4 linked regions of the Rhinolophus ferrumequinum genome follow. The protein of the gene in region 3 interacts with the protein of the main gene of each other region in a pairwise test. Links are inferred from orthologs where the notes say so. Each region holds a gene or a part of one and is shown on either strand. Other genes may lie near its edges.

Region 1 (6,858 bases), on a different chromosome or scaffold from region 3:
CTAATCATCAAGGAAATGCAAATTAAACCCGCAATGAGGTATCTCCTCACACCTGTCAGGGTGGCTATCATCAATAATCAACAAACAAGTGTTGGTGAGGATGTGGAGAAAAGGGAACCCTCGTGCACTGTGGGACTGCAAATTGCTGCAGCCATTATGGGAAATAGAGTGGAGGTTCCTCAAAACATTAAAAATAGACTGACCAAATGATCCAGCAATTCCACTTCTGGATATTTATCCAAGGAAATAAAAAACACTGATTCAAAAAAATATGAGGTGTGATTAAAAAAGAGGGTGAATGTTTAAATTAAAAATATTATAGTAAAAAACACATTGCCATTAATTCCTCTCAAAATACTCTTCCTCGCTTCAAACACACTTATCCCATCATTCTTGCCACTTTCTGAAGCAGTTCTGGAAGTCCTCCTTCATGAGTGTCTTTAGTTGCACTATCGTGGCTGCCTCGATGTCCTGAATCGATTCAAAACGTTTACCTTTCATGGTCATTTTGACTTTGGGGAAGAGCCAGAAGTTGCATGGTGCCAGATCTGGGGAATAAGGTGGATGAGGACAAACCCTAACGCTTTTATTTGACAGAAATTGCCATATACCAGAAGCAATGTGTGACCACACAGAGCTCTGCCATGATGGAGGATGAAACCATTTGCCCATTTCTATTTGCTACTCACATCATTTCTTAAATGCTCTAATAAGGGCTTATTTAGAATTTACCAGCTTTCCTTGGTACAAACTCAGCTTGCAAAATTCCATCAAGATCAATAAACACAATTAACACCATCTTGATGTTAGGTCTTGATTGACGCATTTTTTTCACACGAGGAGAACTGGGTGATTTCTACTGAGAACTCTGAACCTTGGTCTCAGGATCATAACCATAGACCCAAGTTTCATCTCCTGCGATGATGCCTTAAAAAGCCGGGGGGTGGGAGCCAGTTGACTAAGTTGGTTAAGAGTGAGGTGCTCTTAACAATAAGGTTGCTGGTTCGATCCCAACATGGGACATTGTGAGCTGCACCCTCCACAGCTAGACTGAAACGACTACTTGACTTGGAGCTGATGGGTCCTAGAAAAACACACTTAAAATAAATAAAAGTTTAAAAAAAAAAAGTAAAAATTTCAATCACTGATTAAAAAAAACAAAGCTGGAACCTGAAGCAGCACAATCACACAACTCTAACGAAACTGACCAACGCTACTGCTTTTTGTTCAACAGTTTAAACGCATGAAACAAATTTCGTACTCACTTGCTTCACGTTCAAATCTGTTGTTCAAATACTTTGAATGGAACTATAAGAGATGTTCAGATCCTCAGAAATTTCTAATAGTCAATTGTCTGCTTGATCGAATCATTGTGCTTACTCTTTCAACGTTCTCTTGGGTTTTTGATGTTGAAGGATGTCCCAATCTCTCGTCTTCAACTGATTCACAACCATTAACGAAATCGCCTGAACCACTTGTAAACCATCTTCATGGTCAAGGCAGTATCACCGTAAACTATTTTAACATTTTGTGTGTTTCTTTACCACTTTTTTGCAGTTTGAAACAAAATTTCTCGTTAATGCGTTGTTTGTGATCCATGATTTACAGCACACTTTAAAACACACCTCTCAGCCATAGCTCACACCTGACTGGCTGCACCGAATAAGATGAAACTTGTCACACACTGTTACTAAGATTCGACACACCACTGCCCATATTAAAGATCCCTTTCTGCTGGATGGCACTTGGCAGGAGCATTCCGCGTAGTTTTTGATCACACCTGGTACATGCACCCCTATGTTCACTGCAGCACTATTTACAATAGCCAAGATATGGAAGCAACCCAAGTGCCCATCGACATACAACTGAATAAAGATGAAGTGGTACATACATGCAATGGAATATTACTCTGCTAGGAAAAGAATGCAACCTTGCCATTTGAGACAACAGGGATAGACCTAGAGGGTATCACGGTAAGTGAAGTAAGTCAGACAAACACTATATGATCTTACTTATATGTGGAATCTAAAGAACAAAATAAATGAACATACAAAACAAAACAAATATATCTCCTCCGCAAGGCATGACTGGTCTAGCGAGATTAGGACTTTGAGCTGTGAGGCTGGCAGTCACGTGATGTCTCTGAAGCCCCTTTTTCTTACTGTAAAATGGAGACAGAATTGCTCCTCTTGTATCGGTTGCTTAAGAAAACGCTGGAAAAAAACTTGGCCTCCTGCTTGGCAAGCATCATATGCTAAATGAGTGTTGACTACAGTGAGGACTGCCACCCCTACCCCGGGAATCAAGGTGGGGCTGGAGTTGAGATTGGAGTAGGAGGGTCAATCCAGCCGTGAATGAGCAGGAGTCTGACCCAAACCACAGAGAGCTCAAGCCCAAGGTCACCCCCAGACCTGGGAAAACTCCAGCTCCAATATGGAGGACCCCTCTCGACAGCGGGACCCCACTCACCGTGCAGGTAGCATGGGAGGACTGCTCGGAGGCCACTCGCAGCCCGTTGTCCAGCTGGCTGACCTGCGTCTCTGGCACGCTCTGAAGGGCCTGGGCGAAGGTGGCGGTGCCCCGCAAGGCAGGCGACTTCAGCAGGGCCGGGTGCTGGAACGAGGTGGCTGGGACTGAGGACTGGGTTGGGGGATCGCCCCTCAGCAACCAGGCCCGCAGGGGGATCCCCATCCCCGCCCCCAGGCCCGCCGAGAGACTCCCCTCCCCGCCCTAGGCCGTGACCTTCCCACGGCTCTGACCCCGCGACCTCCCCAATCTCGACTCGCTGCCCCTAACATCCCATTCCCTGTCCGCGTCCCGAAGCCCCACATCCCATAGCCCCGCGCCCTTGCTGCCACCTCACCGAGCGGCGGGTGCGCAGGAGCACTCGCGTCCCTGCATTGGCCGCCCGGCAAACCGCGGAAGCCGCCATCTTCTAGTCCAGTCGGCCCTGGGTCGCGCCACGCATGCGTAAAGTGGACGCGGCGGCGCCCGAGGCGCAAGCGCAGTACCGCAGCCTTGGCGCTCGGCCGCCCCCTGGTGGAAGCCGAGGATATTCACCCCTGGCTAGTGTCTGGTTTTGTCCGCGCATCCACTGGTACCTGCGCGCATCAGTCCACCTAGCTCCCTGTTGGCCCGCGCGGGTCTGTCTGAGGTCCAGTCCATCTTCCCTTTTCACCAGTGGGAGGCGGAGTGCGCGATATTTCTCACGATCCGCGGGTGCCTCGGTTCCACTGCGTACCCAGAGCGGCCTGGCGGGCGGGGGGCTCATCCGGGGGCTAAGAGGAAGATTGCTGCAAGTCACGGTTTTCTCTTTAAAAGAATGAAGTAAATTCAAACGGTTGACTTAGAAGGAGTTGAACAATATATTGCTAAGAAAAAAGGAGCAGTTGAGACTAAATTTTGAAAAGGATTCCTTGTTTGGAAAACAAAACACACAAGCAACAAGACCTGGGTCTTTTCTCATAGTTTGCAAAAACACATTCCCCGTTTCCTTCTGAGCCCTCACTGGCAGCATTCTTCAAGTTCAGGTTTCTGCTAAGGGTTGAAGGTGTGGGAGAGGGGAGAAATTCCCCTTTCCCTATTCTGATTCTTTGGGCTGGTGGAAAAATCAACAAGAGACAGATTGACAAGAGAAAATCAAGCTCAATTTTGTGTGCACAGGAAGGAACCTTACCTACATGAGAGGTTCAGAGATAGAAAGGGAAAATGGATGCATAAGGCATTCTGAGCTAGGGGTGAGTAATGCGCCTTGAAGCTTCAGATTGTCATTGCAGGGTGAGACATAGCTGTGATTAGTAGTTTGCCCTGCCATATAGATAGGTCAACAAAGGTTATCTCTGATAATCTCTTATTATGGGCAAGGCTCCTCATTCAAATTCCTCTAGATGGTTGGGGAGGAGTAAAAGTTTCTCTTGAGTCCACAGGGCCTCAGTTGACTTTAGCTCAAAATAATCCACGTACCACTGAGGCATATCTTGGGTGGCTCATTCTGAACCCACACAAAGGCAATTTGGGCTTTTTCTGTTATGCTCCTTGATATTCTTCCAGCCTTTGCTCACTGCCCAATTCCAGAGCTATTTCCACATTTAAAAAATTTGTTGCAGCAGTACCTCACTCTTGATACCAACATCTATATGTTTTCTATTGCTGCCATAACAAATTACCACACACTTAATGGCTTAGAACAACACATGTATTATCTCACAGTTCTGTAGGCCTGAAGTCCAATGTGGATCTCATTGGGCTAAAATCAAGGCATCAACAGGGCTGTGTTCCTTTCTGGAGGCTCTAAGGGAGAAGATGTCCTTGGTCATTCAAGTTGTTGGCAGAATTTAGATCCCCGTGGTTTGTAGGACTGGGTTTCCTGTTTTCTTCCTGGCTGCTACCTGAGGTCATATCACCGGCTTCTAGAGGCCACCTGAATTCCTTGGCTCTTTCCACCATCTTCAAAGTTAGCAGCAGAGGATCAAGTACTTTGAATCTGTGCTCCTTTTCTGCTTTGAAGGGCTCATGTGATTATTTTAGGCCTACCAAAATAATCCAGAATAATCTCCCTATTTTAAATTCTTTAACCTTAATTCCACCTGCAAAGTTCTTTTTGCCATGTACTGTAACATACCCACAGATTCCACACCTTCCCTAGGAGGCATCAACTCCTGCCCCTCCCCAGCCTGCTCCCTCCTGCTTTCCAGAGCTTCTTCTTTCCCCTGAAATCCCTACCACTGTATAGTTCCTAGAACAGGTCAAGGTCTCTTCCCCCACCAGGCCCTAGTCCTTCTGACTGGAACACTCTCCCTTTCCTCTCGTCACCCCATTCATCCTTCAGGTCCCAGCAATCAGCCCACACCTGCCCCACCCTGACTGGGCCAGCATACCTCTCTGCAGAGTAATTGCCTTCTTGAGTCTGTTTCACCACCATCACGACCACACTCCCCTATTTGTGAGTGGGTGAGGGAGGAGCCAGTAGTGTTCTGCACACCAGAAGATCCTAGCATCCACAATAGGGCTAGCAAACAGTAGGTGCTCATTAAACCTTGTATGGAAGTGGGCCTAATACGAGGCTGATGAAGTTCAACCTTGAACGCCCTTTACTTCCTGGCTTTGGGAGGGGCCCCAGTAATGTCCATAGGATCAAGTATTTTTGGAAAACTTGCAAAATTAAGATAACCTAACTGCATCCAGTTAGGACTTGTGTCCTTTTCCCACTCGGATTCTCCTCTATCCCACTTCCCTATATGTGGGGACATTGGAGAGGCTGTGACATTTTTGGGTTCCAGCCAAGCGGAAGGTGAGTTGGAGATTGTCCCAGACTGGGTTCTCTGGGGAGCAGACTCCAAGAGGGAGATCCGGGTGTTTACCAGGGAGCCCTTTAAGATGGGCCGGCCCGGTGGCTCAGGTGGTTGGAGCTCCGTGCTCCTAATGCCGAAGGCTGCCAGTTCGATTCCCACATGGGCCAGTGGGCTCTCAACCACAAGGTTTCTCGCAGTTGGACTCCTCGACTCCCTCAAGGGATGGTGGGCTCTGCCCGCTGCAACTAACAATGGCAACTGGACCTGGAGCTGAGCTGCGCCCTCCACCACTAAGATTGAAAGGACAACTCAACTTGAAAAAAGTCTTGGAAGTACACACTGTTCCCCAATAAAGTCCTGTTCCCCTTCCCCCCCAAAATCTTAAAAACAACAAAAAGATTGGCATCTGAGGGAGGGAGAAAACCAGTTGGGATGGGGCTCTCCGCAGCTCAGGCGGACCTATCCTCTGGCTGCCTCATCAGGCGCTGGGAGAAGCAGGCTTTCCTTGAAGGGGGACATGGCAGCACATTTCTCATGTTGTACAGGGACGCACTTGGTCTGTGTTCAGAGGGAAATATTTCTGTGGTTTGCTCTACTCCTGTGCATGGTTAACTCATTGTTTTTGTCCTGGTGTAGGAATGGCTTCCAGGGACCTCCTGCTGCGTCAGCACTCCTGATCAGGACAGAAGTGCAAGATCCTACTGCATTTAGAACCTGCCCCACAGTGTCCAGTGCCGGAAAAACTGGGGGCCAGAGAGGGAAAACAAGGTTTGAAATGTATGGATTCAGAAGCCCATCTGTGGAAAATTCTTCCAAATCAGTCAGCATGTATATGAAAGAAAGTTGGTGATGATTTCTCAAAATTGAAAACAATCCAGGCCATTTATGTGACACCATCAATAACAAATTGAGAGAAATAGAGAAACAAATTTTCTAAACTATTAATAACTAAAACACAAATCACAATCAACCATGTTAGAAAGAAGACCGAATTATCTTTTCTGTTTTCTGTATGGAAAATATTTAATTACAAAATCCTTACCCTACATAGAGGCCATCAGAGTGAGCAGTCAGAATGTGGGGGAAAAAGTATTACAGAAATGTATCAAGAAGTCACCACAAATGTTATTGTTCTGGAGTTGGCATTGTAGTATGTCAACTTTATAACATTGGTAACTTCTCATTTCTCATTATTTTAATTCACTTGTTTCTATTTTTGAATTCATAATGTTCTATGGTTTTTATAAAACAGAGACTCTAGAAATGCATAGGCCTCAGTATCCACTCAACCTGGACTGCCTATGGCAGAAGGGAAGAGGGTGAGGACCCTTTGGGGAAGTTCAGCCTGCATGCCACTTCTGGAGACCTTGAAGGAAGGACCACTCGGGCACCAGAGCACGTTAGAGACACCATAAGGGTGAAGGCAGCCCGGGCTTACCCTCCAGCCCCCACCGCAGCGCAGGCCCTGAAGCCTAATCTGACTCAGCCAGGTTATCACTACTGGGCAGCACTCCCTGGAAGTCTGACCTGATGGTCAAGTTTTCTGCCACCACACTGGGGGCCCCTG
Region 2 (7,175 bases), on a different chromosome or scaffold from region 3:
TGAGGACTTACTGAACCCCATTTTGTAGTGTCCCATATAAAAGCAACAGGACTTTGAATCTGAGATGTTTGAGAGCCATACACAATCACATCTGAAAAAATTCAAAATATACCCATATATGGTTGTAAAACAAATCTAATTAAAACCCTATTTAAAAAAAAAAAAGAACACCCTATGACAAGAATGCCTCCATTGCAGAGAAACTTGCAGGGCTTCTGGAGAGGAATTCTCCCACAGCCTGCAGAGGGATTTGGGAGCCCCTTTCCCTCACCCAGGCCTGGCTGGCTACCTTGGAGGTGGGGAGGTGGGGCCTGTGAAAGCCAGGTCTGAGCAAGAGATCATCCTCCTTCAGAGGCCAAAGCTATTACACATCCTGCACGCAGAGGTTGCCAGTGGCCTCTTTTCATATAGTCCCAGGCTCAAGCAGCCTTACGGCATTTAGACCTGGACATGCTTCCTTAGGGCTACGGTCAGGGCCAGGAAAAGAACTATTTACCTCACAATTTGTTCCAGGTGGAGAGTAGATGGCTGTGATTTCTGGATTGAGAACACAAAAACCCCAGAGAGTTTAACTTTCTGCTTCTCTCTGATGGTAATTTTCCATCCATGCAGGGTGTGGCCTTGACTCATTTGTGGGGAGGATGTGGCCATCCATAGGGGAAGAGCCTTCTGCTTGATTCTGCCTTTCAGACTGGCCAGTGGGGAGAGAGAGAAAAGAGTCTGGTGCTGAGTCATTATTGGGTTACTTACCAGCTTACTTACAGGATGGATTCTAAGATGGAGGTTTGGAAGTTGTCTCAGCTTCTGGGCCCAATTTGGGAGTGGTGGCAAGGAATTCATGAGTCACAATTCCCCAGAGTCCTCCTCCCCCAGAAAGGATGGGAATAAAGTAGGCTTCAATTCATTCGAAGGGGCATCATTCTCTCTGGAGGACAGGACTTTCCGTAAGTATTTCAGAACCCCCCTGCAATGGGGCCAAACATGCCACCCTTTAAGTTAAAGCATTGCCCACCAACATTATCTAGGACAGAGACCAGAGTGTCCTCAGTCCTAGCCATCCTTTCCGGAATAAGTGGGTCAGATTAGCTGGTAGCCAGTGAGCACAGAGGGGGAGACTGGAAGCATGTTGCCAAGGAAAAAGCAGACTGGTGAACTGCATGCAGCAAGAGGACTTCCGGCGAAGGGGGCACTTGACCCATTACTCACCGATGCCTTTCTTGGTGGTCTTCCAAATCTTGATGACTTTTGAGGGATAAGATCTGCTTACATTTGCATCTTAAGGAGCCTGAACTCTGGCTACACTTGTAGGGAAAAGGGAGAAAGCATAGGGCCTCAAAGGGAGGGTTTGGCGGGCAGGATTAACCCACGCTAGGGAGGCTTTTCTTGGGAGCCCTAGCAGTCCTGAGCTAGAGAAAGATTGCTGGAGGTCCCATCAGCTGATAGAGACCCTGGCTGAGGTTGTACTTCCTCTGGAATGAATAAGGAGTCCTCAAGCTTCTTCCCTCTTCCAAGTGCTGGTGGGGCATTTCTTCAGGAGGGGGGACCTAGATACACAGTTGCATTCAGAAAACATTCTTCACTGTTCCCTTTCCCTGGAATGGCCTTCCCATACCCATCTCTATCCTAACCAACCCTCCATGTCTCCTCCATGAAACCCTCCCTTTCCCACACAGATAGCCTGTTCTCTCTGTATCCTCAACGCCAAAGAAACCAACTTCCTCTTCCTTCTAGACTTTTTCGGAGGGGGGCGGGGAGGAACTCTTGTGCCACCCTGGTGGGATTGAAGAGATGTTGGGAGTCTGAAGGCAGGCACAGAATAAATTTAAAGATCTACTTGGTCTGGCTCTGGAAAGGGCATATAAACTCCAAAGTGATAAACACTTCTGCTCTAAACCTGCCACTGAGGGCCTATGGGCTGCCCTGGAAATCTGGATTGTCCTGAGAAATAACACTGCTGTTTCTGGCAGAGGCCAAGAGGTCACGCACGGACCGTCACGTCTGTAACCAGGGCCAAAACTCATCTCTGGGCTGCAAGATTGGGTTCACTGTTGTTTGCTGACACACCTACCCCACCAAGGACTCCAAATGACCTTCGCAAGTGAAGCCATTAAACTCCAGATTCTGTGGTTCTGTGGCCCAGAACCCAGAGAGCACAGCAGTATATATCCTCACTCACAGCCCAGTCCAGTGAGCCTCGCAGCTACCACGCCAATCTGGCCACGTCAGTGAGCATGGAAGGCTCTGGAGGAGGAGCCTGGCTGCGAGGAGAATCTGTGTCCTCCCTCAGCTTTCCTGTTTCCTGCACTCCTGGGGTTACTTGTTGCTGGGTCAAGGGAGTGAAGATTAAGGAGGATGGCCAACAGAAAGGCAAATGAGTTACTAGAATTCAGAAAGGCGTTCTCACCCTAGTTACAAGGACAAGCGTCCAGGACTAGTCAATTCCCAAGGAAAGGATGCCTCTTGGGCAGTGCTGTGCTCATTCACACCCAGCATCTGATCAAACCCGACCCTGGGAAACAGGAATTGTCTTCCATTTATTTACAAGGAACTGGACTCACACAGTATAGTATACAATCACAGGGACTGATGAGTGGAATTGGAACTCAGATATGATGGAACCTACCTAAGCTTTCTTCTATACTATGCTGCTTTCCGCAAAAAGACAACACTTTAAGCGCAATGTGACAAATGTGCACTATGCATCTAACGTGAGCAGGATATGCTGGATTTGTCTCTGCCCGTTTCATGGACAGCATTTTATAACAGCTGACCGACCTCTGTCACTGAAGGGCAATAGTTTGCCACCAACTCATCAGTTTAATAGCTGTGCATTTCAATTTTGGGAATGTATCTCGATTTAGAACTTTAAAACACAAGGTAGTACAGCACTGGCCTGCCCATCCCCCTCCCCGTGTTGTCCTCCCCTGTACTTAGCTCATTCTTAGCTGAGGGGCCCTGTAAGGGCCGATCATGCTATTCCTTTTTCTCTGGGTAGGAATGTCATTATCCCTGGTGGGGTATGGCCCGTTTTCCTCTCCACAACTTCGTGTGCTCTCCCTACCTCCATGAACAAGCATTTACTTCCTATCTACGACTAAAGAGACCAGAAAAGGCTCACAGAAGAAATGAAATATTTTATCTCAAACAGAAATTTACTTGTAGGCTGTCACTTTCTCCTCCCAGCTTATCTGGGCTAGAGGAAATCATAATGAAGACCTGTGATTCAGCTGCCGGCAGGGTGTGTGCCTGAGCAGGTCACACCCATTGGTCCCATTTTCCAGGAAACGGACAGAACCTAAAAAGAACAGCCTTCAGGATTTTTAATGAAGTAACATTGTATCTGCTCTCAAAACTTGGCTGAATGAAGGCAAGGGTTAACAGCTGTTTCACTGATTACTGTTTTCAGTGGTTGTGGCTAATTACCGAGAAATTGGAAAATGCCTTGGAGAAAAACAATACTGATTTAAATACACAAGGTTGAAAACAAGCGCTGACTCCTGCAAAGATAATGGGCCCTCACCTTCTGAGTATTTCTTGACGATCAGTTCTGCATTAATAGTAATACTTTCTACTCGCTTTCTATTTCCAGGCTCGTGCTCTGCAGGATTCCAGCCCCTACTAAAGTATTCCCATGGCCCCAACTTGTCCTTCCTTGTTCCAGCCCTAAGAACAAAGGCCTCCCGCTCCCGCTCCAAGCACCTCCCGCCCTCCCTAGTTCTCCCTACCCCCACTCCCGGCCCGACCTCCAACCATCCCATGAAATCTCCGAGCTCCCCAACCTCCTGTTCGGCCCAGTCCCCGAGGTGTGCGCTGGGGTGGGCACCCGTAGGGGTGGGACGTCGCGGGGCGGCGCTGGGGGAATGCTACCCCTGGACCCATAAATCTGGGAACCGCCCGAATAGGCCAGGGCAGCTGGGGTGGCCTGGGCCGAGGGTCAGGAGTACAGCCCTCCTCCAGCGTTCTAAGTTGGCGGCAACAGGTGGCCGAGGCGCCCGGGGGTCTGGGAGGAAAGGACTCCGAGGTTCCGAGGGCGGGTCTTGCCGCCTCCTCGCTTCCCCATTGGCTCCTCACAGAGTGCGAGGATCGATTTTTATGTACCGTATCCTTCCGCCACGGAATGTAGTCCTTCCCAAAGGGCAACCTAACTGTCTGTTCCGGCGCCGCCGCACTTCCTACAGAAGGGACTGCTCCCCTCGGGGACGCAGGGGGCGGGCCGGGCGAGCGGGGAGCCAGGATTGGGTGGGGGGCGGGGCGGCGGAGGGATTGCGGCGGCCTTGTAGTCGGAATAACCTTGAGGCTGAGGCAGTCGGCTGCACGCAGAAGCGACGCGCGCAGAGCCTCCTGACCTCTCTGCAGTGTACCCGCAGCCCGAGCGAGACCACACCGGAGGTGAGCTGGAGGGAGACAGGCTGAGCCATCCGTCCCCACCTGGGCTCCATCGCCCGGCTAGTGCGGAATCTGGCCGGTCTGCGCACACAGGGCACCCATTCCGGGGCGGCGCGGGATCCTGGGCATCTTGTACCCGGTTGGGGTCGGGAGAGAGGAGAAAGAAGCTGCTCGCGCCTAGGGCCTGCTCTTCAAGGCCCCCAGCTCCTGTTTCTTCCAAAGTCAGATGACTCAGCCAGATCCTCTCCTGCCTCGATCCCTACCCCAATTCTGGTGCGATCCTCGCCTCCCTTCCCACATGCCCTCCGAACCTCCTTTCCTCTCCTCCCTCCCCCTTGCTCTCTTGCTCGCCTCCTCCCCTTGCCCCTTAATACTGATCCATTCGCCCTTCGTCTTCCACCTGCCCGTGCCTCTTTATTCTGATGCTTTCCTTGTAACCTCCGCGTTCCTCCCGCATTCAGGTTCCCGGTGCCCACCTCGTGCCGCCAGCTACCCCATTCATGCGCTTGTTCCGCCCCTCCCCCCCACTCCGGTCACGTCCGCTCCTCGGCATCCTTCTCTGCGCGGTGCGGCCCTCGCCCCTCCCACTCGGGTCTAGTCACGTTCACGCCCCCTCCCCCGCCCATCTGGTCTCGTCCCACTGCTACCCCGCCCCCCAACTCGTGTCCCCCGTCTCCATCACGGCTCCAGTCTCCGACTCCTGGAACCCGTGTCCGGGGTCACCGACGAAGGGCAGTGGTCTGCGGGCCGGCAGAGCTGGGTCGGGTGCGGCCCGGGATGCAGCGGTGGCCCGGGTTACGTAACCCTGGGCCTTTCCGGCTGCAGGGAAAGAAAGGGTTGCACCTGGGTGCTCCAGATTCGATGCGGTGACCCAGGCGCTGCGCTCGCTCCGGGAGCGTGGCGGGGCTCCATCCCGCCGCGGCGGAGCTGCACGTAGTAGCCGGCGCCCGGGACCGGCCCCGCTCCGCCCCGCCGGACGACTGGCCTGCGGACCCGTTACCGCCCAGCCTCACCTCGGGCCTGGCCAGCCAGCCGTCCGTACGGCGCGGAGGCCTCCTCGCCTCTGCTTCACGTTGCTTCACAGATGCGCCCAGATTGTAGAACGCGGAGGTCACGGGGTGGGTGGGAGTAGGTGTGGGTAGCGGACAAATAGGTCTGGTGGTTGGTGCCACGTACCACCTTCACTCAATAAAAACTGTTCAGAAGCTGTTTGCGGGGAGGGGGATGGAGACCCGGATAACTATACTGGCCATTGCCCACAGAGCTCACAGCCTCGTTAGAGGACGAACATACCGGTAGAAGTTATCACTGGTTAGTGTGGTGAGGCAGGTACGCCCTTCCTGCTTGGGGAGGGCTTGGTGACAGGAGGCCTCACAGGGTGGCATCACACAGGGTTTGAAGAAGCAGGAAAGCACCTGCGGTCTGAAGGTTATTTAAAGGCACCCTTGGCTTCTTATCCGTGTGCTTCATTCAAACCCAGGCCATCGATCCCCTGCTATGCAAGTGACCTGATAGGTGACGTCGGTGTATGGTGGATAGAGGCATTGGGAGGTGTCAACAGGCGTTTAGAATCAGGTTTGACTCATACTGACAGGAGTGATGGAGGGCCTTCAGCCCCGGGGCCTGTTTGCCATGTGTAAACTGAGTAACATTTTCCTCATGCTTGTTGAAAGGATTTGTCTCTATGCACGCATCTAGGTGTATGTGTGTTGTAGTGTCTCATCTCTGGCGAGAAGTCCAGCAGAAATGCCTCTAAATGTGTTCTTTTAGTCACTGAGCACAATTAACAGGTAACTGAGCATAAGGGTTAATCTTGATGCCATCCCCAAACACACACTCACAGTTCCTTTTTGGAGGCAGGCTCTAAATACCAGACATCTCCTGGAAACCAATTCCCTCAGGGATCCTGGTACAGTGTTCACAAAGTAGCTAATAATGTGACTTTGTAACTGCACTTCAAACAGGTCTCCTGAGAATGGGGACCTCTAGACAAAGGAAGGGGAGGGCATTTCAGTCTTTGGTGTTTGGCTATAAGCGGAAACAGACTTACAACCCCAAGACTGAAATCTTCCCTACCCGCCAGCTGGGTTCTAGGATTCGCTCAGCCAGCTGGTAAGTGTGAAGTTAGGACTGAAGGCAGGGGGCACTAACCCTCTATTGGCTGTACTGAGGGTGAGGCCACTCCCTAGGGGAACAGCATTGTTAGCAAATAATTTGCCCTCTGGTTGTTTGAGGATGGTGCTGGGAATGCAGTGGCGCTGTTCTGAGGGGCTGGTAACCCATCACCAGGTCTGTGGGGAGGATGACTGAACCTCTCAACGTATCAGCTTTTGAGAGAATCCTCTTCATCAGGTGAGCGGGAAACATGTAATCTTTGCAGGTGTAAAAAGTCCCCTCTCCCCTTTCAGTGAGTCAAATAACAAAGCATGTATTTCCTGCAGTTAAAAATGTCTCAACTAAGTGAAAAATGGTTGTTCCAGGTCCCCAGGCTCTCTGCTGCCCTACGAGCTGAGGTGCAGTGTGGCACAGCCCTATACCCTGGTAATGCAGTCTGCGCCTTCTGCAGTGGGCATGGCAGCCTCATGGGATAAGGGCTGTAGTGGACTTGAATAAGGTATGAAAGAATGTCTTTGAACTCATTTCTGAGTGACTGGACTTGAGGCAAAATATATGGGTGTTAATTTCTTCCTGTCCAGTACAGCTACTCTCATTGTAAGCACTGTGTTAGAAGTAAATAATTTTAGTGTTGAATTCATAGTTGAACCAAGAGCGTTATTGCATCTTTAAGA
Region 3 (6,895 bases):
CATGGTCCATGTGGGAATTTCCCTGCCCCACCCCTTGACTTTCAGCAGTGCAGGCCTTGCCAATTCCCAGGCTGGAGTTGGTCCCACTGTCCATTTGCTTCACTTTGGCACCTGGACTGCCAAGTGTGGCTGGAGAGTCAACAGACCCATGTGAATGGCTCCTCACAAATGGCAAATCTATGTTGGGAAAGCATCAGCAAGGCTCTTCTGCTCCCAGACAAGTCCTTCCACCCCTTTCTAGGGTACTTCCTCCTGTGTTTCACAATGGCTGGTCCAAACTTTTCCCACCACCCATTCATGCTACCCTTCCCCCGCCTCAGCCTTAGAAGTTGACCTTGACTCTCTTGACCGAGGTCATCTATATGAGCACTTTTCTCTGAACCTCCCAACACCTCTGATTCTTACCTCCACCTTTTCCTCTCTCCTCTCCTCCCATCTCAAAAGTTGGAGTGTCCCTCTCCTTTCCAAGGCTTTAGAATTTACTCCAGCACCCCTCCGACCCCAATCTTCCAGTACTTTCTCTCCACTGACTGCACTCTCAGCTAAAAACTTAGTCAAGTACCTTGATCTCCCCCAAGCCTGACGGTGACACTGCTGTTCCCTTGTTTAATTCACTTATTCACTTGTCCACTCATTTAAGAAACATTTGTTGGGTGCCTACCATGTACCAGGCACTGGAGGTACAGAGATGAATAGAGATCATCTTTGCCCTTAAAGCCTTCAAAGTTCAAAGGGACAGTCAGACTCGCGGGTGAGAGAATGACAATTGAGACGTAAAGATGGATCTGTGCTCACTGCTGAGATTTACTGGTGTGCAGTGGGAGGAACGGGGAGCCCAAGAATGGCTCTCACTTTCTGGTCTGCGCAAATGGGTGGATGGTAGTGCTGTTCCCTGAGGCATGAAACAAGGAAAAGGGAAGGAGGAGCTTGGTGTGGGGAAGATGGTGTGTTCTGTTTGGGGTATGACACGCCTGAGGTGCTGTTGGAATATCCCAGTGGACATCTCCGACAAATCTTCAGTTTAAGGGAGAGAGTGGCCTGATCTGGAACTGGACATTTGAGGAGCGTTAGCCTGAGGGAGTTGGACTCATGCATGTATATAGAGTGCTCTCTGCTGCAAGCAACAGGATAATTACACCATGAGGACATTTGTTATGTCACATATTAGTGAAGAGGTGGGCATTTCCAGGGGTGGGTAACCTGGCAGCACAATGATGGCATCAAGGCCCCCAGTGCTTTCTTCAGTTCCTCTTTGTTTGCCCTTCTCAGGGAGCAGATTTCTTCCTAGACTTGTCCTCTCTTGATTGCAAGATAAAATGACGCATACAACCCCATTCAAAGGCAAGAATGAACGTTTCTTCTTGTACTTGACTTTTTGTTAGGGAGGAAGTCTTTTATCTTTAGGCAAAGGAGAATAGGATTATCATGACAGATATAAGGTTTTGTCTCTGGTGGCAGTGGAGAGGCCCACCTTCCAGGAGAAATGCTGCTTGAACAAAACCGTCATGTGAGCAAGGAAGAGGGATGGCCTCTTCGATTTTCATCCTCTTGCAGCCCCTGGCGGGCCTGGCACTGTTGACCTATACAGTTCGGTAGACACACGAGGAGCTTGGGCTCCTGAATCAAGCATATCTGGGATCCTGTCCTACAGCCACTTTTTGCAAACAGTGTGACCTCATGCAAGTTATTTATCTCTCTGTGCCTGAGTCTCCTCATCTGTGGAATGAGGATTGCGTTACAGTGATTTATAATAAGAAATATATATTTGGTCTTCGCCCATTTCTGGCTCAAGGCTCCCTAAACACTTGTTATTTCCTAAGTGGTGAGAGTGATGAAGGTGTCTTTTGTTATGTGATTGAGGTGACTGGAAGCACCCAAGGATGGGGACTGGCTGCCAGGAAAACCAACCACGTGATTAGAGGGTTAGAAATTTCAGCCCCATCTTCCCCTGATTCTGGGAAGGGAAGAGGGGCTGGAGGTTGAATCAATCACCAAGGGCCGATGATTTAATCAATCGTACCTATGTCATGAAGTCTCCATAAAAACTCAAGAGGACATGGTTTGGAGAGCTTCTAAGATGGTGACCACGTGGTCCTCGGAGAATGGTGCCCCTGGAGAGGGCAGGGAAGCTCCGTGCCCCTTCCCATGTCCGTTGTCCTACGCATCTCTCCCATCTGGCTGCTCCTGAATTATATCCTTTTATAATAAATCCTTGATCTATTACGTAAAATATTTCTCTGAGTTCTGTGAGCCATTTTAGCAAATTAATAGAACCCAAGGGGAGGGGGCTATGGGAACCTCCCATCAATATCCAGTCAGCCAGAAACACAGGTAAGAAGAGCCTGGGCTTTTGGCTGGTGTCTGAAGTGGAGGGCGGTCTTCTGGGACTGAGCCCTTTACCTGTGGAATCTGATGCTATCACCTGGGTAGATAGCATGAGAATTGAATGGAATTTTTGGACACCCTGCTGGTATCTGAGAATTGTTTGTTGGTATTGGGGGAATCCTCTGTCTCTCATATTGGAATTGGGTCTAAGGAACCCTTTTCAGGGATATGGTTCTTACGTTGTTGAGATGATGAAATGAAATGATGCATACAAAGTACTTAGCACAGTGTCTGGCACATAGTAAGTGCTCAGCGAACACTAACCATTAATATTTGGGGCAACCACCCTTTCCTTGAAATTCCCCAGCCCCGTGTGTTCTAGGCCCCCTTCTCTTTCTCTGACTGGTCCCCCTCTTCTTTTCCCTCTTATTGCCTCCCCCAAGGTTGGCTTCTTACCCTCACTACTCACTAGGTCTAGTCTCAGGGCTCTGACCATCAACTTCTTTCCACACTGAGGCCATCAAACCTGCTCTCCTGCCATCCCTCTTCCATGAAGTCCTGGACACTCCTATATGTTCCATACCCTCGTAGGTACATCCTGAGGCCTGATGTTACTGCTCCTACTCTCACCCCCCGCACCTTAGCCTGGTGGCCCTCTGTCCCTTTACATGAGATTCTACCTTAAAAGCAGTCATTGGAACTGCTGTAATGACTTCTACCTGTCAGCCCGGAAGATGTCCAGAGGGACATGGAGAAAAATTTAAATTGGTGCAGAGAGCAGAAGGGAGCATCTGATTAACTTCTAAGTGACTTGGTAGAACTTAGTTATTTCTGTCTGTCTTTCTCCCGAGGCTGTGAGCATCTCAGGGCAGAGAAAAGGATTACTCATCTATCTGTCACCTTGGTTCCCAATGTATAGTTAGTACTCAGAAAAATATCTCATGAATGAATAAGATTCCTGGCTTTGCCACTTACTTTTTTTGACTTTGACTAAGGTCCTTATTTGACCCCAATTCAAAATCTATAAAGTGAGGGGATTGGACTATGTTTTAAGGGAGCCCTTTCAGCATTACAGTGGCATTAATGGCCAAGGGATGGGGGTCAGTCTAGCCAGGGTGGGGATCTCAAAGTCTCCAGAAACATGCTGTGCTCAGGTCTGAGGCAGAGGGATGGGCTCAGAGAGAGGGGCTGCCCGGGATTCCAGAGCAGGGATGGACCTAGTGGTCACTGAGGGGGCACTGGCTATTAACCCCACAAATCCCAGTGGCCCATTCTCTGGGTCCCATCCCTAGCCTGGTGTGGGAGGAGACTGATTTCTGGAGGAAACTCTGGGTACCCAGTCCTCCCCCAAGTGTGCCCACGAACAGGCTGTTCTTGTTTACGACCCCCGTCCCAGGGGAACAGCGATTGCTCATACGTACATGTGATTTGAGAGGCCAGTCTTGCAGGCCTGGAGGAAACTCAAGCCCCGCCAGCCGCACTGGCACTGGAATGCTCAGCTGGTCCCCTCCTGGGGCTCATGTGACCAGGGTCCAGCTATAAATATCGGAGGGGCCTCAGACCAAGACAGAATTCAGGCGCCGACAGAAGAAGGCCAAGAGGCTCCAGGCAAGTGTTTTGTGACAAAGGCAAGACCGCAGGTCTACTCAGACAGAAGCAGGTAAAGGAGGCAGCCAGGTGGGCCCCACACCTCCTGACAGTATGGATTATAAATCAAGCCTGATCCAGGATGGGAACCCCCTGGAAAACCTGGAGAAGCAGTTAATCTGTCCCATCTGCCTGGAGATGTTTACCAAGCCGGTGGTCATCTTGCCGTGTCAGCATAACCTCTGCCGGAAGTGTGCCAGTGACATCTTCCAGGTCAGTTCTGGGCATGGCCTCGTCCTGGGGGCCCAGGTGGCTCCTCAGCTTTCCTGTGATGAAAGCTCATCTCTCTTAGCCCAGGATTCTTCTAAGCCAGGCCGGTTCTTTCCCCTGCAAAGTCAACCCCTGCAAAGGCCACTGGACAGGGCTGAGGGCGGCTGGGGAGGCAGCTCTGGCTGCCCTTCCTTTTCCATGACGCATATTTCCCCTCCCCACCCTGCCTGCAGCTCTGCCACCGGCCATCTCTGCCCTGAGCACCGCAGTTGACTCTTCAATCAGGAATCAAATGCCTCAAGTGATAAGTGAGGGAGGCAGGCAGAGAGGAGAGAGAAACCAGACCCCTGGGGCTGGAGCCAGCTCTCTGGTGGCAGGTGGCCCAGAGCTGCAGGAGGAGGGTGGCCGGGAGGCCCTGGGCAGTGGAGCATCTTCCCTTTCAGGCTTTTGCCTCTAATATAGGGGAGGAGGGGCTTCATCTCCCTAAGAAAGGACTGAGAGTGGATGTCCTGGCTGGAAGGCAGTACTCAAGATTCCCCAGGAGCACTTTACAAAGTGTTCTGTCACTATTTTATCTTTAAAGTAGCAGCCCTAGGAGCTGGCTCTAATTACAATGCCCATTTGATGAATAGGTAAACTGAGGTTTGGAAAGAAGGTTGCTTGCCCCGAGTTACTCGGAGAATAACTGTGACTCAAACCCAGGCCTGCTGACTCCCAAACCTGTTGATTGCTTCATTGCTTCTCAGGTGCTCCCTGTGTAAGCGATCTGCCTCTCCTCTCAGGATAGGGGCTCCAGGTCATGTGGTTTGAAAAAAATGGTTGGAATAAGCAGGGGGCAGGATAATCGGAGATTAGAAAGGGCTGAGGAGGGAGCCCAGGCCTCATCTCTGCCTTTGCCACCCACAGGCTGCAAATCCCTACTGGACCAACCGGGGTAGCTCGGTGTCCATGTCTGGAGGCCGTTTCCGCTGCCCCTCCTGCCGCCATGAGGTGATCATGGATCGTCATGGAGTGTACGGGCTGCAGAGGAATCTGCTGGTGGAGAACATAATTGACATCTACAAGCAGGAGTGCTCAAGGTCAGTTTCTCCGGCTGCTGCGAGCCCGTCCTTCCTCCCCAGCCATTCTGTGCCCAGCTTCCCAGGCTTCTTCCTCCTTCCTCTGTTTGGGATCCTGTCCCCTTAGTTGGACGAGTGACCCTAGCCAGTCTCCCTCTTTCTCAGGCAGGAACAGAGAGGCTCACTCTATCCCCCCACCCTGATTCTCCATGTGACTCAGTGAATGAGAAGGGGCCCAGGCTGCCCTCCTGAAAAATACTGAGATAGGAACCAGGGAACAAAGATGAGATATGAGAGGGAGAGAGAGACGCTGGGGCCAGCTAAGTGGCCCTGATAAACAGAGAACGCGCCGTGAGAACATAGCCAGTTTCTCTATCGTGAATCCACAGCTATGGTCCCATGTGCCAGGAGGCACAGTGCCAGGCACAGGGAACCTGCTGCTTCACAACAATGCTATGGATCAGGCATGACTTTCATCATCCCCATTTCACAGATGAGGAAGCTGAGACTCAGAGAGGTGAAGTCAATCACCCAAGTTTTCCCAGCTGGGAAGGGGAAGAGCTGGGAGTAGGCCCTGTTGATCGAGCTCCAGGTCTCCATGATTGTAGAGTAGCAGCTCCGTCTCAGGCAGTTTGTGAGTGGTAGAGCTTGTGTAGTGTTGGGCCTCCAATTGGAGAGAGACACAGCTACTAGGGAGATCTTTACAAATCAGGACATCCTGACAAGACTTCCAGGCTGCTGACCTCACAGATCTTATGGTCCCAAACCATCACCGAGTGCCTGCCTGCAGGCAGTGTCCTGCCCAAGGAAAGGTGACAGACCAGTCCTAGTGAGAAAAAGCCCTGGCCTGGGGAACTGTGTTTGCTAGTCTGACTCTATTACTAACGTGCTGTAGGATCCTGGGTCAGTCTCTGGGCCTTCATTTCCCATCTGCAGAGGGGACAGTAAGATTTATTATTGTGACTCTATCAAATAGGATTTTGATGGGAAGTGTTAAAAATATCAAATATGTATTGAGTACCTACTGTGTATAGTTACTGCACTAAGTATTTCCTATGCATTATCCCTTACAGTAATCCTATAAGACATTCTTACACAAGGAAATGGAGGCTCAGAGAGGGTGACGGGTTTGTCCAAGGCCACTCAGCTTTCAAGTGGTAAAACTGAAAAACAAAACAAAACAAAGTGGTAAAACTGAGAGGGAGCCTTTCTGACTCCATGATGAACACTACCAACTGCTGTTATGTCTCGTGTTGCCAGGGCTCAACACTCCAAAAATGTAAATGTATTGTTGATCATAATAAAATCAATATGGCACCAATATATTAGCCCACTTAGTGTCGACCTATAAAGACCATGTTGTGTTTGAACCCTTCAAAGTCCTCCTGCATAGCCGGATGACAATGATAGCCGCCATGTTGAGGGTCTGCCCTGTGCCAGACAGGACACATTCCTTACAGACAACCCCTGCCATGATCCCAAGGGCCCTGGGAGGGATCCAAGGCTCAGAGAAGGGAAAGCACTTGTCCAAGGTCACACAATGAATAAATGCAGAACAATCTGGATTCGAACCCAGATGCTAAACCCTGGGCTTAGGAGGTGCCCGCTATATTAGAGGCTGGGAAATCAGAGGTAGTGTAGACATGGTGGTGACT
Region 4 (6,904 bases), on a different chromosome or scaffold from region 3:
AATATGCAAAACATTTTGTGATAAAGGTTTCTTCATGATCAGTCTTAGAATTATCCTTGCATTCAGAGGATAAATGTATAAATGGAAAGGTAATTCAGTAAGTAAATCTGCCAACCAGGCTATGTTTAAAACAACACAACCCACCACCAGCCTCATGCCCTAAACACAAATCTCAAACCAAAATATTGATTTAAAAAATAATCTAAAAGTCATATAAAAATTGTTTTAACAATATTTAATAACATAGTCCACTCAATATTTTACCAGCCTAAAGTTACCTTTAGGTTAAATTTAGGTTATACACATTTAACGTAACTTAATAAATCAGCATTCTTGACTAGCTACCTAGAACTAAATGTAACCTCTGTTAATTACAAAATAAAGATATTGGAATCTCTGTTAAGAAGAGATTTCTTGAGTAACATTTGGGTTTATTAAGTGAGAGAAATATATCATGTTAGATTTAGACGGAATCAGAGGTCATCTACGTGAAGTTCCTCATTCTACAAATGACTAAAACATAGGTGATTGGCTCATATTGTTGAGGGCTAGTTCCTCATGCTTCCTTGACCTTGGGATAGAGAATTCTCCAAGTATTTCTTGCAATGAAGACAGTGAGGGCAAGAGTTTGGACCTGAAGATCAACAGACCTGGAACAATGTATGTGACATACATAGTAGTCATAGAAATCAATAGATAGTAGTTATTACTTCACCGCATTTTTTTTTTTAAGCAGGACCAGTTTATCTCTAATAACAGTGATTTCTCACTTGGTCTCCTGGAACCCCTTTAGCTTCTGGGATCTCTAATTGCCTTAGCAGTAGCTACCCTATAAACAAAGTTTCCTCATGGGGTCAAGGAAAAACGAAGAGTGTGGAACAATAGATAAGACTGCAACTTATTCAACATTTATTAAGCACAATCTATGTGTTTGTCAGTTTCTCTACTGGACTTGCCTTGGGAAGATGGCCAATACTGATTATCTAAAACTTTTCTCCATGAGTACCTGTGTTTAGCAGTAAGCCTTTAAGACTTAAAAAGACTTTGCATCTATAATATCTTTCATAGGAGATTACCACCTTTTTCATTAATAAAACTTTCTATGGGGAAAATTACTGAGTAAAAGTTCCATAAAAGCTAACAAGATTTTATGGAATGTCTACCATGAGCTACATTGCACTAGGCAAGATAAATAATAAACAGTCCCTTCCTTAGGAAAAAAGTTAACCTAATTGAGGAGACATATTATGCCACATAATAGTCCATTATGATTTCCTGTTTCATTTGAGTCTCTCAGCAACCCTCTGATTTAGGTTAGTACAACAGATGCTATCTTTGTTTTTCAGTTAATTATTAAAGCTCAGAGAGTTTAAGCAACCTGTCTAAGATTACACAGTAAGTATGTAGAGTGGGCACTAAGACTCAAGTCTCCAAAATAAAAAGATCAATGTGTCTAGAAAGTTGTGAAACTTAACCAAATTAATGTTATCATTTTTACCATTCGACTCCAAACTCAGTGAAGACCCATTATTATTTCTTGCTTGAGAAGACTATGAGTCAAGTGCTAGAATGGATATTTCAAATTACAAGTGCTACAGTGGGATTCCCTTTCACTATATGTCTATGCAGAACTTCAGCAATCACAGTGAATTATGCATAACCTGAAAATAAAATGTTCTTCACTCTTTAGTCCTTTCATCATCAATGGGACATTTCCCTTCTCAGTTGATATAGCAGAAATTACCTTCATCACATTCATCACACACATCTGACTTTAGAAGAAGCTCACAGCACCCTTTTCACAATAGCATATATACTTCACATTTTGAAAAACAAGGGCTATAAATGAAGAGGGAAAGAATGAGTGACAGTTAAACAGCTACCCTTCCACTGATGATGGGACAAAAAGGAATTCCCTTAAAATGCAACAGGAAATGTTTCGGTGAGATAGTAGGAAATTACCTACATTTTCTAAGGCATTAGAATGACTTGCCAGAGGCTCTTACTGATAATTTAGAGAAAGAACTAGGAAAAAGTTGTCTTTGGAGGCAGGTTAGAACATGGTTCACCCATTTGACATCTCAATGATTCTTTCAGGTTTAGCATGATTTTTCTCAAATAAGCCATTCACGTTTGTGAGAAAACAACATTCAAAAAAGCAAACCAAACATTAAAAAGTAGAAAAACAGACTCATAATGGATTACTAAGTATAGCCCCTACATTTAATGGTCTGCAAAATGCAGTCATCAAAGAGGACCTTCCTTACCTTTCCCAAATCACCACCTGCCACCCCATTGCAATGAGAACCTCAGCCTAGATATACCATGGAACTACTACACTGTAACCAATGTTATATCTTACAAAGGCCTAGGGAAAAGAAGAGGCAAAGCTTAAAGGATTAAAGAGTAAAATTTAACAGTTTATCCTGGGCGTCTTCCCTACTTGGCTGGTAGGAAATATCTCAAACTTTTAGGCACTAAGAAACCTGAATCTAGTGTCTCCTCCCCTTGCCCCAATCAAAACCTGTTCTCAGAAAGAACCAAATATCCATCACATACACCACATGTGAAGTGCCCAGAATAGTGCCTGATTCATAGTGAGTGCTTTAAGTGGTTACTCTCATTTTTATTGTCATTTGCATTTACATTTTAAGTCCTTCTAATTTGGATTAAAAGACTTTTTCCCTGTTGATGGAATCTGATCAGCAGCAGATGTGGAGAAATATTTTGGGAAATTCCTGAAATAAGACTTTCTAGGCAAACACCTACACGTCAAGTCTAGTGTGCTTTTTCTACTAAGTAATGGCTGCATGCCCAGGCATCAATTACCAAACTTTCTCTAAACACCAAAGGAAGATACACCTACATAGTCAGCTGTGAAGAATTTTATGTGGCTCATATGTGCTCAAACATCTATTTATTGGGCCCTAATGTACACAGGAACTAAATCAAGACTGGAGTACTCATGAGGGAAGGAAATAAACACATACGCTTTAAACAATAGAACCACACCGAAACTGAAGCCACTGAAAGGGGATAATTCCACTCAATTGGCCTGATCCTCATGCCACCTAGTCTTCTCCACCATCTCTTTCGTTGACTTAAAATTTTCTTCCTCTGTAAGTATTTACTTCCCTGCACAAAAAATGGAAACCTAAACATCACGATGGTCTCCTCGGTAAAATGACAAAGGAAAATGTGTAACTGTTAGAAGAAAGGGAGATAAAGGAGAGTTGACAGCACAGAATCCTAGTGGTACAGATTGCTTATTTGTTTGGTAGTTTAAGTGTTTCGGAAACTTTTAGAATAAAATTACAAGGTCAAGGCAGCATAATACCATATAGATTCAGAAAACTTGCCAAAGATATTAAATTGTATTTTTCCACACCCTGTGACACACCACTGTCAATCACCCAGCTCTCCTGCCTTTAGCCAGACCACACCCCCTTTCTTGAAACAATCTGCTTGATCCCTGCTCCACCCCCACTCATGTTTAGCAAGAGGGGGAAAAAGCCTTCAGATGAACAACTATCCAATACAAAATCAATTTGGACCCCATCCACCACTGGTCTAATTCCTGGAGGAGTCTTATGAGATACACCACCAGTCGTAGAATATATGAAGGGATTCATAGTCCTTCTTTCTTCAACAGGGAAGTCAAAGCCCCCACCACGATAAAAGAAACTGAGTTTTCTTTATACTTTTTCCCATTTCCCAATTCACTGCTCTTCCCCCAAGAGCTTGTTAAAGCTCATAGCTAAAATTCACATCTAAAATAAAAAGGCCTGCAAGAGAAGCTCATGTAATCCCACTCCTTAAATATCACTAAGACATCTGAGATATTGTTTAGATTGTGGACTCTTACTTTGACATGCCAGCATAGGTAGATAGACAGGCGAGCACATCAGATGTCACTGTTTGGCAGCCGGTAAAAGTCAGTGGTGCTATAATATTAAGCACAGAGCCACTAGATTAGTCTGTGAGGGAAGGGGATGCCTCTTCCTTCCCTTCGACCGTGAGTTAAACCCAGCTGGCACCCTCTGGAACTACCGGTAAGTCCCTTCTTTATTCCTGCTAGTTTTTTTGTTTTGTTTTTTGTCCAAATCAGCGGAGTGTGTACAGAAGTGATCTTCAGATAGAGTTTGAAAGCCACAACATCATAATGGTATTACACAAAGATTGGAAGAGAAACTGATCTATTCATCCCATTGAAACTGGAAGGCATTATAGAAAAGGTAGAAGAACAGATAGTTATGTTATTATTTTTTAAGCCATCGTTTTTCCTTGAAAGGGGACACTTGGTCTGTCTGTAATTGTGGTGATATCCTACAGCTTCAAAATATCCTCAGTTTTGTGTGCAAGTCTGTGCTATAGTAGAGATAGGGGGAAAATGTTAAGATTTTTTAAATAGGAGACTGAATAGTATTTTATTTATGAAATCTTTACATTTATTTAACATTATTTAGAAGGAAATGATACTGTAATGTAATAGAATCTAATCTAGAACTGAATTGTTGAACAGTAATTATAACCATGAAGAAAAGACTTTCAGAGTTACCTGTGTGAATATCTGTATAAAATTTGGTAAGACAAGAACAAAATAAAATTTTTCAAAGAATATATTTTTAATTGAACTTCAAAAAATAACAGTAAATTTTAACTATGTAGGCCAATACCAAAATGAACAAGACAGTTGACATTCTAGAAATATCTGTGAAGAAAAATAGGGGACTTTGGGGAAAATATCTGCTAGCTATTTGTTAAACAGTTTATTCCTTGCTATTTGAAATGAATCTGAATCATTTGCCTGCCCAAAAAGGAATTTAGGAACCAAACTAGATTCAATTCTTAATGGAATGAAATTAACTATAGAACTACTTGCCTTGAAATAGAGTCTTTTTTTAAGAACTATTTAAAGCCTCTTTCTGGATGTTTTTCCCCAACAATTTAAAGGCCTAATTTAGTTAATTACTAAAATTCACTCTAGTTGAATGTACTTGTGATCGTAAACTTGAAATTAAGTATTATATGACTTTTTCAGTGTTCTTTTCAATAGAATCTTTCTCTTGGCTATTTAGTTGCATTTTTGTTCTTTCCTAAAGCTGCTAGTTTTCATTTAAACTACATGCACAACCATAGAATGAAGTTGTCTAGAAATTTTTCATTAAAAATGATACTTTCTTCAAGATAGGAAATAAAATAATTATAAGATTTTGTTTCAATAATGACAAACACTGGCTAATTTTATTAACTAAAAGTTTGATTTATCATTACCTCAGTGTTGGTTCTCAGTATCTCTATGTGAAACAAACTAAATGTATTTTGGACTAAATTACCTGATATTTTGAATAAAGACAGAATCAATACTACAACAATTTATAGGGCTAGCCTTTGTGTATAATGTCTGCATACAGTCCTGCTTAGATTTACTCCACTAATGGGAGAAATAGAGGGATATATAATTGCTTAAGGTGATTTTAGTGACATATGATTCATCTAAAGAAAACTGGGGATCTACTGTAGGAAGTCAGGTAAACCAATGCAGAGAAAAGTAAGAGAATGGCACCCATCTTTTCTTGGTAACATCTAGGCTGGCTTCATAGTTGTTGCCTTACTTCCTTCTGTACATCCTGTTTGCTGCTCCAAAAGGAAAAATAAGAGAGAGGCTAAAATAATTTCAAAATTAGTCTAAAATACATATTAAACAGGTAAAAATAATAAAAAGTAAAATTAAATAATTAAGAGAACATCAAGACCAATAGCTAGATAGCATAATCTAAAAAATAACAGAAAAAATTTACAAATGGCTCTGGAATGCAGTCAGTAACATATATTATATACACACAGAGAGACACAAACCCACAGTCACTCTTGAATCACAGTCTAGTTTAGTACTATGGTCAAATTTGGAATCAAGGGAAGAAAAACAAGCAGCAAATTGTAAGGTGAAAAAAATCCACTCAAAGTTGACAACAGAGAATTATAGATGTTCACTCTGTGAAATTGTGTAAGGGTGAAGGAATAAATATGGATATTAAAATACTGTTCTTTACAAAAGCCGCATATTGCTCCCCTTGATTTACCACGACATCATTCATCACAGATCACTAGGACATGAGTTAATTGGTATATCACAAGAGCTGTTCATTGCTTTCGATGAGCAATGAGAAGGGTTCAAACTGAATGGAAGCTGACATGTTATATATTTAACTGCTAATATGTAATTTTAAATCATTGAATCTCTGTGCTTAATGAAACGGCAGCCTCTGGGAAAAAGCTGATCATGAGACCATAAAATTATCACACTGAGCAACATCACAGTGTATCTTTTCATAAATAACCACTTGACAAACTTTGCGCTCCTGCATCTGGAAGCCCCTGGGCATGCTTTAAGAATTACCCAGAGCAAACACCAATGAATCCTTTTTTCTTATTCTCAAGGGAAAAGTCATTCATTCAAAATAAAAGATGAAGGAAGGGGAAGTATAGAAGCCAGGAAAGTTCCACCTTGAGATGACCTTGAAAGCATATAAGCTCAAAAAAAAAAGCGCATTAAGTTCGGAAGGATGTTAAATAAACAGTACTGTTTTTATACAAATACTGTAACTGATTCATTTTCTCCTTTTGAAGGAACGATATTCTTCAAGAGAAAGCCACTCCATCAAAGCCAGGAGCACAGCATTCCCAGGATTTCCACAAGGGGCACACCAAGGCTGCTTCTGACTCCTTGCGACTTTCTGTAATTCCAGGCTTGCAGCCCCAAATTCAGGATCCCACCCCTCCAGGAGCAAATCACTGTAGTAATAAATTGCCTTCATCTTCCATATACCAGCTAAGCATGTTTAACTACGAACGGCCAAAACACTTCATCCAGTCCCAAAATCCATATGGCTCCAGACTGCAG

Evidence for each region.
Region 1: the proteins of TRIM63 (region 3) and cytochrome b-c1 complex subunit 1, mitochondrial interact in a two-hybrid assay, tested with the Homo sapiens proteins (2 studies listed by BioGRID and IntAct). The link is inferred for Rhinolophus ferrumequinum from reciprocal best matches to the Homo sapiens genes TRIM63 and UQCRC1.
Region 2: the proteins of TRIM63 (region 3) and PKM interact in a two-hybrid assay, tested with the Homo sapiens proteins (3 studies listed by BioGRID and IntAct). The link is inferred for Rhinolophus ferrumequinum from reciprocal best matches to the Homo sapiens genes TRIM63 and PKM.
Region 4: the proteins of TRIM63 (region 3) and MYOT interact in a two-hybrid assay, tested with the Homo sapiens proteins (2 studies listed by BioGRID). The link is inferred for Rhinolophus ferrumequinum from reciprocal best matches to the Homo sapiens genes TRIM63 and MYOT.

The regions. Positions count from the first base shown.
Region 1 is NC_046300.1:7,507,624-7,514,481, reverse strand, and holds the start of cytochrome b-c1 complex subunit 1, mitochondrial, read right to left. Parts: upstream 3,017-6,858; 5' UTR 2,933-3,016; coding exon 2,864-2,932; intron 2,641-2,863; coding exon 2,470-2,640; intron 1-2,469. UniProt on the Homo sapiens protein: Component of the ubiquinol-cytochrome c oxidoreductase, a multisubunit transmembrane complex that is part of the mitochondrial electron transport chain which drives oxidative phosphorylation.
Region 2 is NC_046289.1:97,339,761-97,346,935, reverse strand, and holds the start of PKM (pyruvate kinase PKM), read left to right. Parts: upstream 1-4,166; 5' UTR 4,167-4,389; intron 4,390-7,175. UniProt on the Homo sapiens protein: Catalyzes the final rate-limiting step of glycolysis by mediating the transfer of a phosphoryl group from phosphoenolpyruvate (PEP) to ADP, generating ATP.
Region 3 is NC_046292.1:17,858,615-17,865,509, reverse strand, and holds the start of TRIM63 (E3 ubiquitin-protein ligase TRIM63), read left to right. Parts: upstream 1-3,884; 5' UTR 3,885-4,026; coding exon 4,027-4,185; intron 4,186-5,088; coding exon 5,089-5,261; intron 5,262-6,895. UniProt on the Homo sapiens protein: E3 ubiquitin ligase. Mediates the ubiquitination and subsequent proteasomal degradation of CKM, GMEB1 and HIBADH.
Region 4 is NC_046307.1:13,099,743-13,106,646, forward strand, and holds the start of MYOT (myotilin), read left to right. Parts: upstream 1-3,881; 5' UTR 3,882-4,052; intron 4,053-6,630; 5' UTR 6,631-6,838; coding exon 6,839-6,904. UniProt on the Homo sapiens protein: Component of a complex of multiple actin cross-linking proteins. Involved in the control of myofibril assembly and stability at the Z lines in muscle cells.